Regions from separate parts of the Mus musculus genome. Here region 2 is reported to be linked to region 1. The links are microRNA targets in miRTarBase. Many come from high-throughput screens and were not tested one by one. Region 1 holds a microRNA gene; the other region holds the end of a gene's coding sequence.

Region 1 (4,408 bases):
GTGCTGAAAACCAAACTTGGGTTCTACACAAGAAAAAAATTGCTGGGCCCCCTAGATTGCCTTTAAAGAGAAGGTATAATTGAGAGCGTAGAGCAGGCGGAGGGTAGAAATTAAGAGCTACTGTGAAATTCCTGTCACCATGTTACTGAAGTTTGTGAGTTTCTTAAGCTGAGCCATGTGGAGAGTTGGATTTTCGATTGTTAGGGTTGCATCTCCTGCATCAGGGAATCCGTTTGTTGCAAGGTTTTCTTTATGGTATATTGAGTATTTTGACTCCTCTAAGTACAATGTGTATACCACACATTTTGTGACTGGTCTGATTGCTTTCACGAATTTTATTTTACATAAAACTAATCTGAAGGATTATCCATCCCCATGAGTTTAGGATATGTTTGTATGGAAGATAAATTCCTAGGTTTCTTTAAGTAACATCCCTCCATTGTGTTCTTTAAATACTAGCAGATGATAGACGTTCAACTAATTACACTAATGTAGGCTTTCCCCTCTTTGCCTCTCCCTTAACCTAGAGCCTCCAGGTGAGGAGCTGGATAACAGAAGTTTAGAGGAGATTTTGAATAGTATCCCTCCACCCCCACCTCCAGCCATGGCCAGTGAAGCTGGAGCTCCTCGTCTCATGATAACTCATATTGTAAACCAAAACTTCAAGTCCTATGCTGGAGAGAAAGTTCTGGGACCTTTCCATAAGGTACTGCCTGCTCAGATAACGTGGAATACATCTTTAATTACAAGATATTTCAGTGTTCTAACGGTCCTGACTCTTTACACACATATGCTCATAGACGCACAGACAGTATGTTGCCTGTGACTTCAACAACAGGAATGAGTTTTTCTTTATCTGATGTCTTTGGTATATCTTTAGCAATATTTGCATATTGAATGGAATCTGTTTTTGTTAGAAGGGAATGTTTTCCCCGTTGACTGTGCTAATGAGTTTTGTAAAATGTCGGGATTAGAATTTGAAGGTGGTTTTTATTTAAATGGTGAAGCTTGTGCTATTGAAGAACATGATGTAAGAAAACTCAGATTGTGTTTTCCTTCAGTTCCCTGGCCCACTCCATTCCTAGGGTGCTTTCCTTTTCTTAATAAACTGCTTTTATTTCTAAAGAGAAAGAAAGAAAAAGTGTTTATCTTCTAATGAAAACTTTTAATGATACCTTTGATTTTTATTACAAATTAAATTATGGAGTAGTTTAAAATTAGTATTAAGTGTGACTATTTAAATTTTTAAAAATTTACTTTTATGCAGCGCTTTTCCTGTATTATTGGACCAAATGGCAGTGGAAAATCCAATGTTATTGATTCCATGCTTTTTGTGTTTGGCTATCGAGCACAAAAAATAAGGTCTAAAAAGCTATCGGTACTGATACATAATTCTGATGAACACAAGGATATTCAGAGTTGTACTGTAGAAGTTCATTTTCAAAAGATAATTGATAAGGTAAGATTTTCTACTTGCACCTTCAAGCAAGAAAAGGAAACATGCCACATTTTGTTATTGTAGATCTGAATTGTTCTTTATTTTACTTTGTGTATAATTAGAGCAATAAGAAATGGATTTTGCTTCTGTGAACATATTTACTTCAGCTTTTTGGAAGAATACAGTGATGTAGGGGCCCTAAGTGCTAATTCAGCATTCACTCACTATAAATATGGGCTTCATTTGAAAAGTTGTACATTTTTTTGCTTTAGGATAAACATTTTAATTTTTAAAATGCAATAATTGACTCTAAAATGTAATAATTAGTAGCTATGTGAGAGAGAGAGAGAGAGAGATGAAATTTTCTAAGGTTTGAACTACCGTGATGAAGTATGTTTTGAAATGGTAGGGGACAGGCATCTGTTTAATAGCTTAGAAAAATTCATGGTTCAAAAAGCAACGGAAAAGAACCTTAAAAAATAAGTGCCCATAGTAAAGTAACAGATAATTGGATGCTGGTGGGGATGTTTTACATATAAAGAAATTTAACTACACAGAAGCATCTATCAGAATTTTGCTTCTGAATTCATTCTGTTGCACATTTGAGTTAGAGAATTAGATTGCCAATAAGTCATGATAGTCTAGTACCTGTTGTTTAATTAATCCAAAATTAAATATGACACGGAGCCTTTTAAGAATAAATGAACTTTAATGCTAAGATGGACTTATAACTTGATTTCCTTTATTATGTATATGATTGCAAATTTTTATGATGGTTTACTTCTAATTAATGATAGGAAATGCTGTTTAGGAAAGGGAATCCTGTCTCCCTACACACACAAACACACACACACACACACACAATCATACACAATCTTTACTCGCAGACCCTACCACTACCAGAAAAGTATTTCCCCTAAATATTTTCCTTAAATTGTTTCTTCTTGAAGCTTTTTAACAGTCACCAAGGTTATCTGAGTGGAGTGGGTTGTTGTAGATATGCTGAGGTCTTGTTCGCCTTCCTTGGCTCTCATTCAGATATATTTTGAATAGGCTGAAATTTGTGTTTGCTTGGTTTAAACTTTTAGAGATTTTTGAGAAATAAACCAAACAACTTGGAGAAGTATCTAGTCCTTTGTAAAGCAATTTATTTTTTATCTCACTTTAAAATGGTTGTCAGCCTATGGCCATACATAATTCAGGGGAAATAAAACAAGCAATAGGTGAAAAGGATTAAAATTCGTTATATACATCTGAATCTGTTAAAGAATACAAGAAAAATATTTAATCTGTTGAATTAGTATCAGTATAAAGTAAATGAAATCTGGATTAAACCTGTGATTTAATACCAACAGTTTTCGGGTTCTGTTTTTCCTAAAAACAGGAAGGAGATGATTACGAAGTCCTTCCTAACAGCAACTTCTATGTATCCAGAACCGCCTACAGAGATAGCACTTCTGTCTACCACATAAGTGGGAAGAAGAAGACGTTTAAAGATGTTGGAAATCTCCTTAGAAGCCATGGCATTGACTTAGACCATAATCGATTTTTAATCTTGCAGGTACGTTTAAAAATTCTTCCAAGGTTCTTGGTTTTTGATTTTTGGCTTGTACTAAAGCTTGAAAGAGTGTTCTTCTGTTTGCTGAGTCCTGTCTTTTGGAACCTTAAAGTACTGTAGCAGCACATCATGGTTTACATACTACAGTCAAGATGCGAATCATTATTTGCTGCTCTAGAAATTTAAGGAAATTCATTCAAGATTATATGGTACCATCACAGTTGTATTATGTTTGGATATCTGACATGCTTGTTCCACTCTAGCAGCACGTAAATATTGGCGTAGTGAAATAAATATTAAACACCAATATTATTGTGCTGCTTTAGTGTGACAGGGATATAGCAACTCATTTCTGTTTGTTATTTCCCTTTAAGATAACAGTTTAGATAAAAATCTTTTGATAATCTGTCCCTTTTGTTTATTGATATTTAAATATAAAATAATATAAAAACCATATACTTGATATCACAACAAGTTTTCCTGGGTACCTAATGTAATATTTTTAACATTATACTTGCATAAAGGTTTACTCTGGGTGAATTTAATTTGTTTATGAGGACCTAATTTCTTAAACCAATACTGTTAGTATCAGTTCTTAGAAATATAAACACTAGGTTCCTGGTATTTTTTTTTTATTATTAGACCTTGTATTTTATTTGTTTCTTGCTTTTTGCTTGCTTGTTTGTTTATTTTTCCACTTTTGGTGTGATTATGGAAGTAAAAGTATATTCTGATAGTGTAACAGAAGGAAAATTTTGTCTTTCCTACTTTTTTTTTTTTTTAAATACAGCCTTGTTAGGGACTATGAAATTGCTGTTTTGATTTAAAGGCTTTTTTTAAAATACTATCCCAGTCTACTAAGAGCATAAATAAAATGTAAAAAGAGAGATTGTTATGCAGAGCAGCTGTGCCTTGTACAGTACATCTTGTGCTACTGATTTTGAAAATAAGTTGGGAGTTTCAATGTGATTTAAAATGTTCTGTTGTGTAACTAAGTGTTCCACTAACATACTTTTCACAAATTTCACATTATATTCTTAAGGCATTATTATTATTTGAGGCATACACAGTATAAAAGACAAATGATAATTTTCTAGAATACCCCTTAAATATCAGAACAGTGCATTTACAATAATTTAGTGAACCAGTGTTACTTAAAAGTAAATATTGAAAAGAATCAGTTGCAGATATATGTGTAAATAAGATTTGGATTTATATAGCTGTAATCTTATGCCACTGTAGGTATTTTGCTTTGTTTTTTAAATGAATTGTACTGTTTATAGATTTCCATTTTTTCAGGAATTTGGCTTAATTAATTGGATAAAAAGTTGTATTTCTTTATAATCTTAAATTTAATGGTGGTAACAGTTTTGTAGGGAATTATACTAATCTTTGGTTTATTCTTTGCTGTG
Region 2 (4,408 bases), not on the chromosome of region 1:
GCCATCTCTCCAGCCCCGAGCTTAATACTTCATTACTGAGGTTTTCAGGTATTAAGTTGGACATATCTTCAGGAAGCTTGGTAAATCTTCAAAATGCTTATTTATTTATTTATTTATTTTTGGTCTTCTTCCTGGTAAACACAACTTAGCAGATGTGCAGATGTGATAGATAGTAAACATTTTTATATATTTAATTTATATATTTAATATATTATGTCCAAGGTTACATCATTTCCCATTACATCATTATATATAAAGATTTAAATAACTTAGAATAGAATCAGCCTGCAAAAAGTACAAAAATTTTGAATTATATTTATTGAAATGACATACTGTGCTCTTACCTTATATTTCGATATTATTTTGTGGTGTTTTCCATGCCTTGTATATTACTTATATAGATTGTGAATGATAATTCAAATAAAAACTCTAATCAATGCTAAAAAACAAAGTACATAAATGTTTGATATGGTGGCATACACCTACAGTTAAAGCTATTTGGATGGTTGGGGCAGGAGGATCACTTGAAGCCTAGAGTTCAAGGAATTCATGATAAGCCTAAACCACATAGGAAGACTATGTTTCAAAAAACAAAACCATATGTGGAAAAGTTCTACATTTTTAGTGTAAAAACACTGTTTATTAAGAAATTATACACCTTAAAAGTTATGTGAGTAGATTACATATGTATAGCCCTGAATTTGATCTGTAGTACTAAAAAAAGTTACAAAAATTACATAAATATATACATATAAACAGGAGGGAAGTAAACTTTTTTTTTCAAAATGAGAAACTCAGCTGATCTGAACTCACTCAGCATTCCTAGAAAATTTTCTCATGTTTCACTGAGAATCCACTTTTCAATTGAAAGAAACTGAGTCAGCATAACTTAAACAGGCTTTCTTTTACCAACTGTAGGTACAATGACTGGTTCCTTATCTGAGGTGCAGCCATGCTCTACAATGGACAGGGAATAGGTGTTAGGTCACTTGGCTCAATTGTATTAAAAAAATATGTGGCACCTGACAGTTGTTTTGTCTGCCTAAACCTAGACTTCTTCCTTTAGAAAAGTATAATAGCTGTTTAGCTTATACAGGAATCGCAATGACTAACACATGTGAAGAATTTACCCTTGCCTGGTACCCAGTAAGAGTTCTAATGTTGGTTGTATATTGCCCTTCTTGCCCAGAAGGAGTAAGAGGGCAGTGCAGAACTGACTCTGATCCTCTCACAGCAGAAACCATTCAGAACCCAAGCCACCCTGAAGAGGACTCCTTTCAAACCTCTACGCATTAATAATTTCTTTGAGTGAACTATAAAAAGAAAGAAAAGTCTGCTTTGGATATGCTATGTCTACTTGGATAGAAACTAGGGTGTCTGTAATTCTCTAAATTGTTTTTCTTTCAACAAATCACCCCCCATGGAGACAGGAAGCACCTAAATTTAGTAATCTCAGAACAGAAGGAATACATCTGCACTACTGCCTTATGGAAATTCTTTTTTTTTTTTTTAAAGATTTATTTATTTATTATATGTAAGTACACTGTAGCTGTCTTTAGACATTCCAGAAGAGGGCGTCAGATCTCATTACAGATGGTTGTGAGCCACCATGTGGTTGCTGGGATTTGAACTCAGAACCATTGAAAGAGCAGTCAGTGCTCTTATCCGCTGAGCCATCTCGCCAGCCCATGGAAATTCTTAAAGCAGTAGTATTACAACTCTGTCCAAGAAAACTAGATTTGTCACAAAATAAACAAAATTTTGGTCAGGGATGGCAATGTACAAAGTGTTAGTGCTAACAGCAGACAGGGCAGACATGTCAGGCCCTTCATCATTGAATTCCTCCAATGTCCATTTTCTTCCTTACTTTATAAATCATCATCATCATTGCCAACAGAAGCAATTTTCCAAGATTACACATGTAGGTATGTAAGAGGTAGAATTACAAGGTAGAAGTCTGACTCCAAAGCCCATTTACTCACACATGTAGTCTGCATTCATGGAGCATCTGTACTGCATTGACACTACCCTAGTGCCCCAATTGAGGGAGGCTGCTTTGTGGAATCTAGACTACAGGTGTCCGGGTCTCCAAACACTATACTATACTATAAAATCCCTCTCAGATCAACTTGAGCATTCATACTAATATTCAGTTACTTATATAATTGAAATTATACAGAACTGGCTACTACTATAAATGCCATCAATACATTAGTAAAGAACATTTCTGAGGGGCTGGGGAGATGGTTCAGTAATTAAGAGTATATGTTATTCTTGCAGAGGACCTAGGTTCAATTCTCAGTACCCACATGGTACTTCACAACCATTCTAACTCTGCTTCCAGGAGATCCAATGCCCTCTTCAGACCTCCCCAAGTACCATGCATACATGTGGTGTACATAAATATATACAAACAGAATACACATAAAAAATAAAGTCAATAAATAAAAAAAAAAGAAAATAGTTCTGAGATAAATAAAATAGTTCTGAGATAAATATCCTCTTACTTGAAGTGGTATTGATCAGCTTTCTAAGAGACATTAATCAGAAGACACTGTCTAGTGACTATTTATCAATGTACTTTGGGGGCTGGGAATGCAGCTCAGTAGTAGACCCCTTGACCTAACATATGAGAGAGCACAGGTTCAGTCTACAACACTGGGGGCAGTGTTCTACTTACTTAGGCAATAGACCACATAACATACTAGCTTTGGATATATTGTTTCTGTATTGGTGATTATCCAGCAAAGGCAAGAATACATATAGTCTGCAAATAACAGCTACTCATCTTAGACACACACATGGAATCATGTTTGAGCTGATCCTTGCTTGATACAAACCCTCCTCTGGTAGGAGAACAAAAGATACATTTATGTATATTAGTAAGTAGACTCTAAAGATCATATCCAGATTCCAGAGGCTTGGTACCAACAGAAACCAAGTAAATGAGGATGAAAGACACTGTGGAGATGAGAAAGTTCTGATGGGATGATTCTAGGCCGTGGGTAGTCACTTAGGATGGAGGGAACTAGAAACTGTTTTGGACAGCTTAAAAATCAAATATGAACTGTCAGCAAACTCTCCTCTCAGTGCCTAGGAACTCAAGGAAGTTTTTTTTCCTGTTTGTTTTGTTTTGTTTTGTTTTGTTTTGTTTTGTTTTGTTGAGTCAGGGTTTCTCTGTATAGCTCTGGCTGTCCTGGAACTCACTCTGTAGACCAGGCTGGCTTTGAACTCAGAAATCTGCTTGCCTCTGCCTCCCAAGTGCTGGGATTAATGGCATGCACCACCACTGCCTGGCTCAAGGAAGTTTTAAACATGCCTTTAAAACACTTCATTTCAGATAAAGGGAAAATAATCACTGCAAATATTCTTTTGGGAATTCAGATTTGAGTTTTTCTCTCCATTTTCCTCCTTTCCTCTTTTTCTTTTATAGATTTTGAAGACAGCTATTCTGTATCAAAAGCTGGCCTTGAACTCACTATATACCTCATTCTGATTCAAACTCCACCTCTTACCACAGCCTCCAAACTGCTCAGATTACAGGTATGTACTACCACAAATGGCTTTTCAATTCAGTTTTAACAATGGGACTGAGTAAACAGAAAATGGAAACCATTAAAACTGTCCTAGAATGGACATCAGATAAGTTTTATATATAATTTCATATATTTTCCCTGTTTGTTTACCTGAGAATTGTATTTGAAGGACAAAAAAGTAAAAGAAAAGTAGGTCAAATAACTTAACAATTACATGTTTAAGATTGGAGGCAATGAAACACTGGAATAATTCAAGTATTTTCTCACAAAGGGGAAATGAAGCAGCCTCTATTCTATCAACTAGTGGTTGATGACATAGCACTAACTCCTGTGCATGCTCATTGGAAATATGAACAAGGGTGAAGTCATGTAGCCAATTCATGAAAAACATGCAATAACATAAAGATGCATAGGTAGTTATGGTCTTGGGAAGGGGAGCTGACATGCAGCTGGTGGGAGAAGGAAGGACCTGTGAATTTACCTGACCGTTGGGTAGTCTTGCCTCCCAGCTAGTTGTGAGCACTGTGGCGGTACGGAGGCAGCAGGCTGCTGACAATCTACAAGAAACTAATAAATTAGACATGTATACAAAGAGATGACACAATGGTGTTAGCAACAGTAACTAAATCAGCTGCCTGAGATTTAGTGAGGAACGGGAACGTTTACTTAGAAACATCTAGATTAAGTGTGGTTTTTTTTTTTTCTTTTGTGGGTGTGTTTTTTTCCTTGACTAATGCCAATAGAAAAGACTGAATTTTTAATTAATGTCTTAGAAAAAAACTAATGACATAAAATTAGTAGCAAGATTTTAATAGTACATTATGTCCTATGGCCATTCATATTTGGTGTTTTGATTACTCTAAAATCAGAAT

What was found. The annotated mature microRNA mmu-miR-15b-5p reads UAGCAGCACAUCAUGGUUUACA and lies in region 1 at 3,114-3,135, shown strand. An mRNA with a match to its seed (bases 2 to 7 or 8) in the 3' UTR can be bound and repressed. Matches are read on the target gene's strand: a 7mer-m8 pairs with bases 2 to 8, a 7mer-A1 pairs with bases 2 to 7 and ends in A, and an 8mer does both.
Region 2: the mRNA of Bicd1 is a reported target of mmu-miR-15b-5p. The part of its 3' UTR that is shown has no 7-base or 8-base seed match.

What each region holds. Positions count from the first base shown.
Region 1 is chr3:69,006,662-69,011,069 of GRCm38, forward strand. It overlaps Mir15b (microRNA 15b), which reads left to right and starts at 3,111; the gene lies at 3,111-3,174. It overlaps Smc4 (structural maintenance of chromosomes 4), which reads left to right. Exons shown (of 24, transcript NM_133786.4): 3 at 528-706; 4 at 1,268-1,459; 5 at 2,823-2,999. Mir16-2 (microRNA 16-2) reads left to right here and starts at 3,241; the gene lies at 3,241-3,335.
Region 2 is chr6:149,550,035-149,554,442 of GRCm38, reverse strand. It overlaps Bicd1 (BICD cargo adaptor 1), which reads right to left. Exons shown (of 9, transcript NM_009753.4): 8 at 4,018-4,093. The coding sequence ends at 4,046. It overlaps Gm38931 (a long non-coding RNA gene), which reads left to right. Exons shown (of 3, transcript XR_869630.3): 1 at 1-80; 2 at 3,434-3,543. Among named protein-coding and RNA genes, the nearest start is that of Gm38931, 2.2 kb to the left of the region's middle.